Linked DNA regions of Lytechinus pictus. The protein of the gene in region 1 interacts with the protein of each later gene in a pairwise test. Links are inferred from orthologs where the notes say so. Each region holds a gene or a part of one and is shown in the gene's direction. Other genes may lie near its edges.

Region 1 (3,757 bases):
AATATTTTCATATACAACACACAAAATCTCTAAGGAGAATTTCTACTTTTTATTCTCCTAACCCTCGTCTCCTCCTTCCTCTTCTTGTTCTTGTTCGTCTTCTTCTTCTCCTTCTTTTCTGCAGACCTCACTCCGATCAAGTGGCGCCTGAGGTAATTTTCCGTTTGTCCCCTGCCCCTTTCTTTTCTGCCCTCTTTTGTTTATTCCTCTGATCCTTTCTTATCTTTGCTCTCTACCTTGGCAAGATGTGGCATATTGTGTAAAATTTATGAAAGGCTGTGAGCGACGCGAGCGCAAGCAAAGAATTTGACATTTTTCTTAAAAAAAAAATCAAATTTGATAGATTTTGACATAACTTTCAGAAAATAATATATTTCACCCATCTCTCTTTTTCTTACCTTTTTCTTTTCTTAGTCGTAATTGTTTTTTTTTGTTTAGGGAGGGGGGGGGGGAGAGCCATCTGTACACCCCGGTGTACACCAGTGCTTTTTAATTTTCTCCATTATTTCCCCCTCTCCTTCTTTAGTTACTATTTTTTTCGATTTTTTTTTCTTTCCATTCTTCCTTTTATTAGATTAATTAGATATATTAATGTAAACAAACATTTTTTAAAACAAAATGTATGCGAACATTATATGCATGTAGTTATAACTTCGTATAAATACAATGTAGTAACATATTTCATTTCGTCCTCGCTTCTTCTCCTTCGCCTCCCTCTTCCCAAAATGTCAAAATACTAGTACATGCGAAATAGTGTTCCTGGATTAAAATGCGAAATCAGCTATTGCGCCCTCTTTCGTTAATCAATCTTGGTTTAGTCAAATCACGTGACCTTCGCTCATTTCACGACTTCACGTTCATTTTTTATTTTTCATTTTTGTACGACTATTGCATGTCTGCGCGGTCTAGGCCCTACTCGTATATTGCACGTCTATTTACTGTGCTTTTGCGCTTGCATGCTGCTGTGCGTATTTCGCGATCGTAAACTGAATTTGCGCTTGAGGCCAGGATCTCCGTTGCTTTTGTGAATGAATGAGATCTCATCTTTTTGCCGAGTCGTCGAGATACCCGGATTTCTTTTCATCTCGCCGAATAACAGTTTACATGCCCACGACTTTGTCGTGAATTGCAACCTTTTAACGTTAGGGTGAGTAAATCGTAGTCTATCAACACACATTTGAATGACATTCTGACAAAATGCACTGCACTGCCACTGGCACACACCACAGTGCAGTGCATGCAGAGCAGACTGCACAGCATGCAGCAGTGCCAGCCATAGTCATAGACCAAAACTAAAACAAGCTTCGGTCTCCAGGTCTCTGTTAATTTTGTTATGTTGGTTGTTCAGCTGAACTCCGTTGGCTTCACTCACCAAATACAGAGACCGAAGTTTTAGCGCGATCTGTACAGGGGACTCAATGGCAATATGTTTATGTACTTAAGTCAAGATCGGATAAAACGGGGAAGTGAATTTGCGCGACAGCCGAGGTAAGTCACTGACACTGTTTTTGTTCCTTTTAACTTGATTTTTCTCCGTTTTTTGGCAATTAATGCCAAGAGGGAATATTAATTTGCATTTTGGTCGCGTTAATTTTCAAAATTTTTATTCATTAAAGACAAAAATTGAAGAGCCCCGACGGGGGGATTTTGCATTGCAAGTCCCCTAATCAATGGTGGTGGCTGCACGCTAGCGAGCCGTCTGTGTATGAGGAGAAATTAAAAAAATAAAAAAGTTAAAAAAACTCCTCGAAACCGACGGCTGCCAGCTGTCTATGCCAGCCAGTGCAGTGGCACTGCATCTTTTTTCCTTTTCATTCAAGTTTCATTATCCACTCACACGTATTTAGCCAGGCGGCTTCTAACAAGTTAGAGAGTAAAAATCATTTACTAACGTAAGGTCACTCTCATACGAAGCCAGGGCTTCCGTCATATACTTTTGCGTGTACCACCAGAAAACCTGAAACTTTCGCCCCCGAGATTTCTACTTTCTTTCTAAAAGATCTAGCCCTAAATCATGTATGGTTGGAACTACCCCTTATCGACCACCTAATCTTCTCAGCATCGTATCTGCAAAAATATTCATCAATTTTACCCAGTTTTAGTCCCATTTGTGCAGAAAATTGAGAAGATCAGATTCCCATGTTTCGCTCGGCGACTCCGATTCAATCCGCGTATATATCGACGAACAATGAATACGACGATTTTACATTTGCTCATTTGCACCCGTCTTTTGAAACCGACCACCCGCGATACACTAAGTTTACGGCCGATTCTTGTAAATATTTTTACTCTTCCAAATCAGTTCTATGATGTCAACATGCTAAATGATCGTCTCACTACTTCCGCTGCGAGCTCCGCGCCGGCACATGATTCGACGATTGACGACGGATATTTGTTCTAAAGCCGTTTCCTATCGGATTTCTTGGTTTTTCAGCGGGAATTGGGTCTGGTCAATACAATTTTGATTAATTCTACTAAATTTTTACTTTTTGTTGCTTCTTTTTTTCTCGTAAAATCGATTCTTACCGTTTCTATGGACACTGCGCCTACTCTCCCGCGCGTATCGTTTGTAATACGCAATAATTTTATCGCGCGCAAGGTGGTCGGTTTCAAAAGAGGTGGTCGATATGTGGTAGTCTCACCATACATGGGATACAACTTCATTTCTACGCTATGGATTTTATTTTTAGACAAGAATTCATCAAAAAAAAATGAGAAAAATATCATGAATAGACGGAAGAGACTTGCCCGATGTTTACGCCGCCATCTTGTTTTCTATTTATTGTTCTTCACCCATGATACGGACGCTTGCGTCGCGTAACGTTGGGGAAGAACAATAGAAAACAAGATCATGAAGATGGCGGCGTAAACATCGGGCAAGTCTCTTCCGTCTATTCATGATATTTTTCTCATTTTTTTTGGATGAATTCTTGTCTAAAAATAAAATCCATAGCGTAGAAATGTCGGAAATGAAGTTGTATCCCATGTACATGATTTAGGGCTAGATCTTTTAGAAAGAAAGTAGAAATCTCGGGGGCGAAAGTTTCAGGGTTTTTGGTGGTACACGCAAAAGTATATGACGGAAGCCCTGGCTTCGTATGAGAGTGACCTAACGTTAGTAAATGATTTTTACTCTCTAGAAGCCGCCTGGCTACACGTATTGCGGGGTTTTTTTTTTTACTATACTAATACTAACCTTGCACAACCAACGCAATGGTTTTTTGAGTTGTCCTTTAGACTTTTTAGTGCTTTAGCCTTTACCTTTACCCGAGTCGAGATTCTGGAAGAATGCTGATGATCCCAGGCCCAGCACAGCAGTCGTGCTTCCACTGAAGTTCCAATTCAAGTCCTTCATCCTTCTTGTTAGTTAGGTATCTTCATAGGCTAGCAGTCTAGCTTGGAAATCTACACCGTCCTCGACATTAGTATGGTTTATTCATCATAGGGTGAGCAGTACCGCTGGTCAGCCCACACCTTGTCTAGCCTTATTTTAAAACTGTTCACCGTCTGAGCTGTGAGTGTGAGTGTGACAACCTCTTGGGGCAGCGAATTCCAGTCATTTATGACACGCTGGCTGAACAGTAGAGGCGCACGGCCAATATTGGAGACTGTCTCCAATGTGGGAGATTATCTTCCATATCAGAGACTTTTGTAAAGAATTTGGGTATCCAATTTCAGAGACAGTCTCCAGTTTTGGAGTCCAATTTCCTTTGTTTACATTTGCTGCCAAAGGATTACCTTGGCGGCAAATAAAAAT
Region 2 (3,757 bases), on another chromosome or scaffold:
TGCCACTTGGTGTACTCCAACGTGTAAAAAGAGACTGAGGGAAAGAGAGAGCTAGGGACCGGGTGGATGACTGAGGCAAATTAAATGAGGAACAACGCAATAGTTTTAGTGTTTCATTTTCATTCACGAATAAAAAAAAATCACGAGACCTGGCAGTTTGTTAAAGAAAAAAAAACAGCAGTCTTTAAAGCGACTACTTCAGTCCATTGATTACCTGATGCAATTGAGGGAACTTGTCATATAAATTGTACATTTGCGTGCAAATCTGTGAATCTTTTATCATACATTTTTTAAATATTTGTGTTGTTTTGTAATAGTATTTATCAAAATCATTCAGTTCAGAATCATACAAGTAATAGTACATCAACAAAACATTGTTCACAAAGTAATTATTCATAATACACAAAATTGTACCAAAAAATACAGAATATAACATTCAAATCATCTAGAACAAAGTAAATACTTATAGTCTGTAGACAAAAAAAATACAAATATAACAAAAAAATGATAAAGGCGCAATTGAACTGAATGAGAATTAGAAGTAAAACACCCTCCCATATTGTTTCTTTATTTTCGAGGGAGGGATGTCGAAACCGGGGATCGAAAGAGGGAAAAGGGAAAATGCATATGATTTTTATAATCATATACGATTAAATTCTTAATTGGTCTAAAACCAATCTAGTTGGTCAGTACAGTCTCGACCCATTACCTAGGCCTAATAGCATTTTGTCTACCAAACAATGTATGAAATGGTGTCCCTGGACTGGAGCTCAGAATATTTTTGCTCCATCTTCATTACCACCACTACCATTACCTCTCGTTTATATTTTTTAAATCATGAATTATAAAGTTATGAAAATAATATTGTATTCTGCATATCAATCATATTCTCTGCTTATGATGATATTCCCACTAGCTTTGCTCAAAAACAGAACATGAAGATTGTTCGCAAAATCCAGATATCCTTTTAACGTTAGAAATAAAAGTACACACAAAACAGGCGTCAATTTGAATAAAGAAAAGATAAACTTGACGTATTATCACTCAGTTTTATACCACTATCATGACTATAGCAAAAGTTAATTACGGCAGCCCACCAAAAAAAAATTATAACGACGTAATTGAACTGAATGAGTATTAGAAGTAAAACACCCTCCCATCCCAACTGCTCCCCCCCCCCCCCTATCCCATCTAAGCCCAGGAAGCGCGGCCTAGCTGCTTCCCTCCCCTATAAACCCCGGCTACCCTCCATCTGCCTTCTGTACGTGTACTGTAATATAATACCAGATCGCGGCGCGGCTATCGCATCAGGAAACTGTGCATGTGTGTATTGTGTATGTTTGTGCATGTGGCACGTGTGTGCATGTGCTGCTCGATTTACTTATACGCGCTCAACCTATCATCTAAAAATAGAAAATATGAATACATAATTAGGTACAAGTCTAACGTAACCGAGTCTACATATTCTGCACGAACTTCGCCCGATATCGAGGTAGGTAGCTGTGACGTAATTTCGTCCCACCCGCGGCGGGATGAATCTCGTATAAGGCTACGGCTGATATTGCAGAGCTCTTGGATCTGTCGTCCCGGGCGCGGCGGGATGAATAGCGGTGCGCCGCGTCCGGGGCGCGCTAGGAGAAAAAGGAGCTCGCTGAATAACCGAATCGTCCCGGACGGTGGGATTTCGTCCGAGGCGCGGCGACCCGCAACCGATAATAAGTTTGCTGCGCCTAAATGAAAATGACTATGCTACATTCAGTGTATATTAGGTCCTAATTTTAAACAAAGGTGAAATTTGTTTGAACAATATTGGTTATTTGAATCATGATTTGAATCATGATTCAAAACACAAACATGAATCACAATATCACAGAATCAGCGTTTAGACGACCTTCATTCCAATGCTGTTTCTCCTCAGATTCGGGCCAATCCAGTGCGCATCACTAGTGCGCAGTTTGACAGAGGAAGTTTTTCGCACGTGTTTCGGCTCTCGAAAATTATTTTGCTTCCATCAGAATTCAGTCTATACCTCATTTTGTTTACTTCTATCATAAAGGGTCCATATGCTTTATCCAAAATGGTGTTCGGAAGTGAATTTCAGCGTAGATCCAATTTGATATTGATACTGTATACTCAACAACAACTGAGATCATTGTCTGTCCAGTTAATTCATTTACTAGAACTTGAAGTTGAAGACATGACCAAAAAATGAAAAGTAGTGGACGATGCGATGACCAACACAGAACTTGAACATGACAAGAAATGAATTCATAGTACATAGTCATGTACATACAATGAGCATATAGAGCGCCATGAGCTTGGCAAGAGTCAAACCGAAAGGAGCCCGACACAACAGTGAGGTCATATAATCATGATTGTAATCACGATATCGTTTATTCGAACATTTTCGTACGTGATTCTGCAGAAACGTCTTTCCAAACGCCCCTTTTTTCGTGTTTCATGTTTGTGATTTTAATCATGATTATATTCAATTTTGACTAAGGCTGCGTTTATGCGACCTCAAGCCAGAATCATGATTTGAATCATGATTTGAATCATGATTCAAAACACAAACATGAATCACGATGTCACAGAATCAGCGTTTAGACGACCTTCATTACAATGCTGTTTCTCCTCAGATTCGGGCCAATCCAGTGCGCATCACTAGTGCGCAGTTTGACAGAGGAAGTTTTTCGCACGTGTTTCGGCTCTCGAAAAATCTTTTGCTTCCAGAATTCAGTCTATACCTAATTTTGTTTACTTCTATAGGGTCCATATGCTTCTATTCATCTTGTTAGTTTATCCAAAATGGTGTTCGGAAGTGAATTTCAGCGTAGATCCAATTTAATATTAACACTCTATACTCAACAACAACTGAGATCATTGTCTGTCCAGTTAATTCATTCACTAGAACTTGAAGTTGAAGACATGACCAAAAAATGAAAAGTAGTGGACGATGCGATGACCAACACAGAACTTGAACATGACAAGAAATGCATGCAGAGTAACCATGTACATACAATGAGCATATAGAGAGCCTTGAGCTTGGCAAGAGTCAAACCGAAAGTAGCCCGACACAGTGAGGTCATATAATCATGATTCAAATCACGATATCGTTTATTCGAACATTTTCATACGTGATTCTGTAGAAACGTCTTTCCAAACGCCCCTTTTTTCGTAGTTCATGTTTGTGATTCTAATCATGATTATATTCAATTTCGACTAAACGCAATCGTGATTCTGCAGAATCGTGATTTGAATCATGATTCTAGGGTGAAAAAGTGGCGGATAAACGCACCCTAAACGCAATCGTGATTCTGCAGAATCATGATTTGAATCATGATTCAAATCATGATTCAAATCATGATTCTAGGGTAAAAAAGTGGCGGATAAACGCACCCCTAGATTCATGCAAATATACATGTGTATAAAGTTTGGAATTTGTGTGTTGCATATTCTGTCATAGTTGGTTAATACGGGTTTGTGATCATTTAAATTATTTTATAACAATGACCAGGTAACATGAGTGGAATACATGTATCAAAAAACAAAGTCTTGCATGCTTTTCACGGAATGTAGACAATATGAGAATTTTTTTTAAATTCAGTTTATGCAACTTTTTGTACCACAACTTATAAAGAGGATACCCAATTCTTGAACATTATTGTACTTAAAAGAATATATTTTTCAAGAGTTCAAAATCCATGTAGTCATGTTGCCAATTTAAAATAACCCAAAGTAAAGATTTCAGCTTATG
Region 3 (3,757 bases), on another chromosome or scaffold:
CATGAAGAGTTTTTCAGTGGTTTTCAACAACAGGTTTGCATTCCGCCAATCAAATGCGAGGGTTCGCTATAGCTTGTAACATCTCTCTGTAAACAAACAAAAATAATCACCGCCAACACTCTTTATGAAACACTCCCTAGCCCGTCTCTTGACCACGTGGTGTTGTTGATGAACGAACCAACAAGAACAAGCGGGTTTCAACGAAGTGTCAACCTTGGGCCGTTGACAGACAAACCGCAGGGATTAAGACTTTTTTTTTTCTTTACGCAGGTTTTTTTTTCGGACAAAATAATAATCAACTCGTTTCAACGAATGGGTTTACATCCGAACCTTCCTTTTTTCTTTGGGGGGGGGGGGCGGCAGGTGTGACTTCCTTAAAATAATCTTATACCTGGGACTACATGTATATATAATTATGGCAAGTTTATAATTTACTTTTAGGCTTACTAATCAATAAAACTATGAATTATCCCCCCCCCCCCCCCCGAGACTCATGCGCATAAAGAGAAATGTGAATGGCTGTGATTCCCGAATCTCGACCTCCAATTTTTTTTTTCTTTTTTTAATAAGTCGAGATAGGAACTGTCAACTGTGAGTCCCGCTTTAGAAGGGACGGAGCACTAATATAGCAGGCAGTAAAGTAGAAATATAAAGAACGGGGAAAGGTGTTACGCCGTCCTTCTATTGTTTACAAGCAATTTATTTTGAGAATGATCTGTGAATTAAAGGAAGAAATTTCTCTGTGAATATTGTGTGAGTTGTGTTGGGTGCTGTTTCACTGCTGTATGTGCATGAAGGGGTCGTGAATAAACTGACAATTTAGATAAACTATTGGAATGATTATTTGTCTGTTTTACCGCTGAAGAGCTTTTCCTTAATTGTGCTTAACATCTCAGTCGTTACAATGTTTTTGGAGTGTAAAAAGCAGTCTCTAATAGCGCTATTTTTCTGAGAATAATTATAGTCGCTCTTCATCGAGAACGAATGTCAATAAATCAAGACATAAAGAATAGAAAGACCTGTTGATGATTTTGACCAAGGCATCCCACTCCCCGCTGGATAAAATCAGGGAGGGTTTATCATTCATCAGGGCAGCCTTTTGGTCAAATAAACTAGCTAGTTGACGGAGATATACGTATCTTTTCTGAATACCCAAATAACCCAATTACCCACATCATCAAAGAAACAGCAAAATACATTGTATTCCTGATTCCTTTACCAAATAAATCAAAATGATGGAAGCATAAGGTGCCAATCCCTCGCCTTAATTTTAAGTTAGTGTGTGGTTTTTTATTTTCCAGTACTAGTAAATAAATCTGACAACAGTGTAATTAAAAAAGAAAGACCATGCCTGTAATTTTCCTGTTAGATCCAGTATATATTTAGCTCATCCGAATAATTTTCTCACTCTTACCCATCGCTCTCGATATCACATACTTACGCTTAATTTCATAATGGAGAACCTCAACTTAATACCGAAAAAGGGTGCAACGTCTCCCGTTTGGGTACATTTTGGGTTCAAGTGTGGAGAAGATGGGAAAGTTATCAACCCAGACAAGGCCACTTGTAGAATTTGTGGACGTGATTGTGCTGCGAAAGGGGGGAACACATCAAACTTGATGTCTCATCTTAAAAGCAAACACCCAAAGCAGGCAAGTGAATTACGGCAACCTAAACGGACACCATCCACCGCCTCGACGTCGCAACAACCAACACTAGCCGATGTTCAAGCTAGGGCAGCAAAATATAGTCACGATGATCGGAGGTGGAAAAATTTGACAGACTGTGGGGCTAAGTATCTAGCCAAAGGGATGCTCCCCATGTACACGGTGGACAAGCCAGCATTTAGAGAAATGCTACAAGCATTTGACTCCCGATATACACTTCCCGGGAAAAAGTATTTTACAGAGACTGCTCTCCCGGCTCTTTATAACTCTGTTCGAACAAAAATTCAGAAAGAGGTCGAGGAAGCAGAATATTTTTCTGCAACAACGGACCTGTGGTCGAGTACAACCATGGCTCCTTACATGAGTTGTACTATCCACTTCATCTCCAAGGAGTGGAAATTGATCTCCCGATGTTTGGCAACATCTTTTTTCCCAGAAAATCATACCGCGGACAATATAAAAGATGCACTGAAGGAGACTTTTGCTGAATGGAATTTGGATGAGTTCAAACTAGCGTGCATGACAACTGACAATGGCGCAAATATCGTGTCTTGCATGGAAAAGTTGGAGTGGCCATGGTTAAGTTGCTTTGGGCACAATCTTAACCTTGCAGTAAACAATTGTCTGAAAAATAACACAGCCCGAACAAGTCATGCAATTGGGATGTGCAAGAACATTGTTGCTAGTTTCTCCCACAGCTGGAACAAACGACGGGAGCTTGCCAGAGCTCAAGCTGAACTTGATCTTCCAAGGCATTCGCTCATAGTGGTAAGTTAACCTTCTTTATTCATACTGAGATAAAATATTTTATTTTATATCCATTGCAAATTTCACATCTTGTAATTTAAATTAAGGGTATTTCCGGCCGTATACCTATATCTCCCTTCGTCAAATTATCAGTCACTGCATTTGTAGAATTCCATATTAGGTAGATAGTCCACAAGACCACAACTGATTGGAATTTTGAAGAAAAAAAGTTTTCAGTTGCCCCCAAAAATGTATCCAATATTCTTGACCCAAAAATAATGAAAGTTTCAAAGTTCACTTTTATAGAAAATTATGAAAAACAAATATGAAGAGACGTTACTCGCTGTATGATAATGCTTCGAGATTTGTAAATATAAGCATAGAATGATAATTGGGGTTAATAGCAAATAGGAAAACAAAAATTAATATAGGCCTACTGTACATTTTTACTATTTATTTATTCACTTTTCTTTCGACAGGACTGTGTAACAAGATGGGGAGCAAAACATCAGATGATTCGTAGAATGATCGAGCAGGCTCCGGCGATTCGTCGAGTAATTGCACAAGACCCAAGGACAACACACAATCTTAACTATGGAGTCATGTCTGTCCTGGAAGCAGTTGACAAAGCCCTATCTCCCGTCGCTGCTTTTACTGACATATTGTCTGGAGAGGACTATGTCACCTCATCATCCCTTCTACCAATGCTTGATCACCTTGAACATGATGCTCTAAAACATGAAGAAGATGAACCAGACCTTACAATGGCCATGAAAAGGGACATGCTGACCAAGATACTCCGTCAGTATGAAAGGGAAAGCATGCAATGGATGCTAGCTAAGTCAGCGTTTATTGACCCGCGTTATAAAATGAATCACATTGAAGATGAAGAGCGAGATGAACTAAAACGCAAAGTTATCGATGAAATAGTAACTCTCGTTTCTAATGTATCCGCCAATGATGAAACTGCACCAGGGGACAATGACCAACCAATGCCGCCCCCGCCTAAAAAAATGTCCCTCGGAAATCTTCTTGCTAAGAAAAGCACTGCGGCAACCCCTCGATTAACTGTCCGACAGCAGGTAAACAATGAAATCGATCGATACCTCGCTGAAGATACCGAAGATGGAGACCAAGACCCCCTACTTTGGTGGAAACTCAATGAAAGGCTGTTTCCATCTTTGTCAAAATTTGCCAAAAAATATCTTTGCATTTGCGCAACAAGTTGCCCATCCGAGCGTGTATTTAGCACAGCAGGGAATATTGTGACACCCAAAAGGTCGCTGCTCAAACCATCCAAAGTGAATATGCTTGTTTTTCTTGCAGAAAATTTGTAATCGTTG

What was found.
Region 2: the proteins of SUMO-conjugating enzyme UBC9-B-like (region 1) and double-stranded RNA-specific editase 1-like interact in a two-hybrid assay, tested with the Homo sapiens proteins (2 studies listed by BioGRID and IntAct). The link is inferred for Lytechinus pictus from reciprocal best matches to the Homo sapiens genes UBE2I and ADARB1.
Region 3: the proteins of SUMO-conjugating enzyme UBC9-B-like (region 1) and E3 SUMO-protein ligase ZBED1-like interact in a two-hybrid assay, tested with the Homo sapiens proteins (4 studies listed by BioGRID and IntAct). The link is inferred for Lytechinus pictus from reciprocal best matches to the Homo sapiens genes UBE2I and ZBED1.

Annotation. Positions count from the first base shown.
Region 1 is NC_087254.1:20,340,808-20,344,564, forward strand, and holds the start of SUMO-conjugating enzyme UBC9-B-like, read left to right. Parts: upstream 1-805; 5' UTR 806-1,147; intron 1,148-3,757. UniProt on the Homo sapiens protein: Accepts the ubiquitin-like proteins SUMO1, SUMO2, SUMO3, SUMO4 and SUMO1P1/SUMO5 from the UBLE1A-UBLE1B E1 complex and catalyzes their covalent attachment to other proteins with the help of an E3 ligase such as RANBP2, CBX4 and ZNF451.
Region 2 is NC_087247.1:52,518,883-52,522,639, reverse strand, and holds the start of double-stranded RNA-specific editase 1-like, read left to right. Parts: upstream 1-1,250; 5' UTR 1,251-1,492; intron 1,493-3,757. UniProt on the Homo sapiens protein: Catalyzes the hydrolytic deamination of adenosine to inosine in double-stranded RNA (dsRNA) referred to as A-to-I RNA editing.
Region 3 is NC_087249.1:51,618,405-51,622,161, reverse strand, and holds E3 SUMO-protein ligase ZBED1-like, read left to right. Parts: upstream 1-1,454; coding exon 1,455-2,435; intron 2,436-2,893; coding exon 2,894-3,751; downstream 3,752-3,757.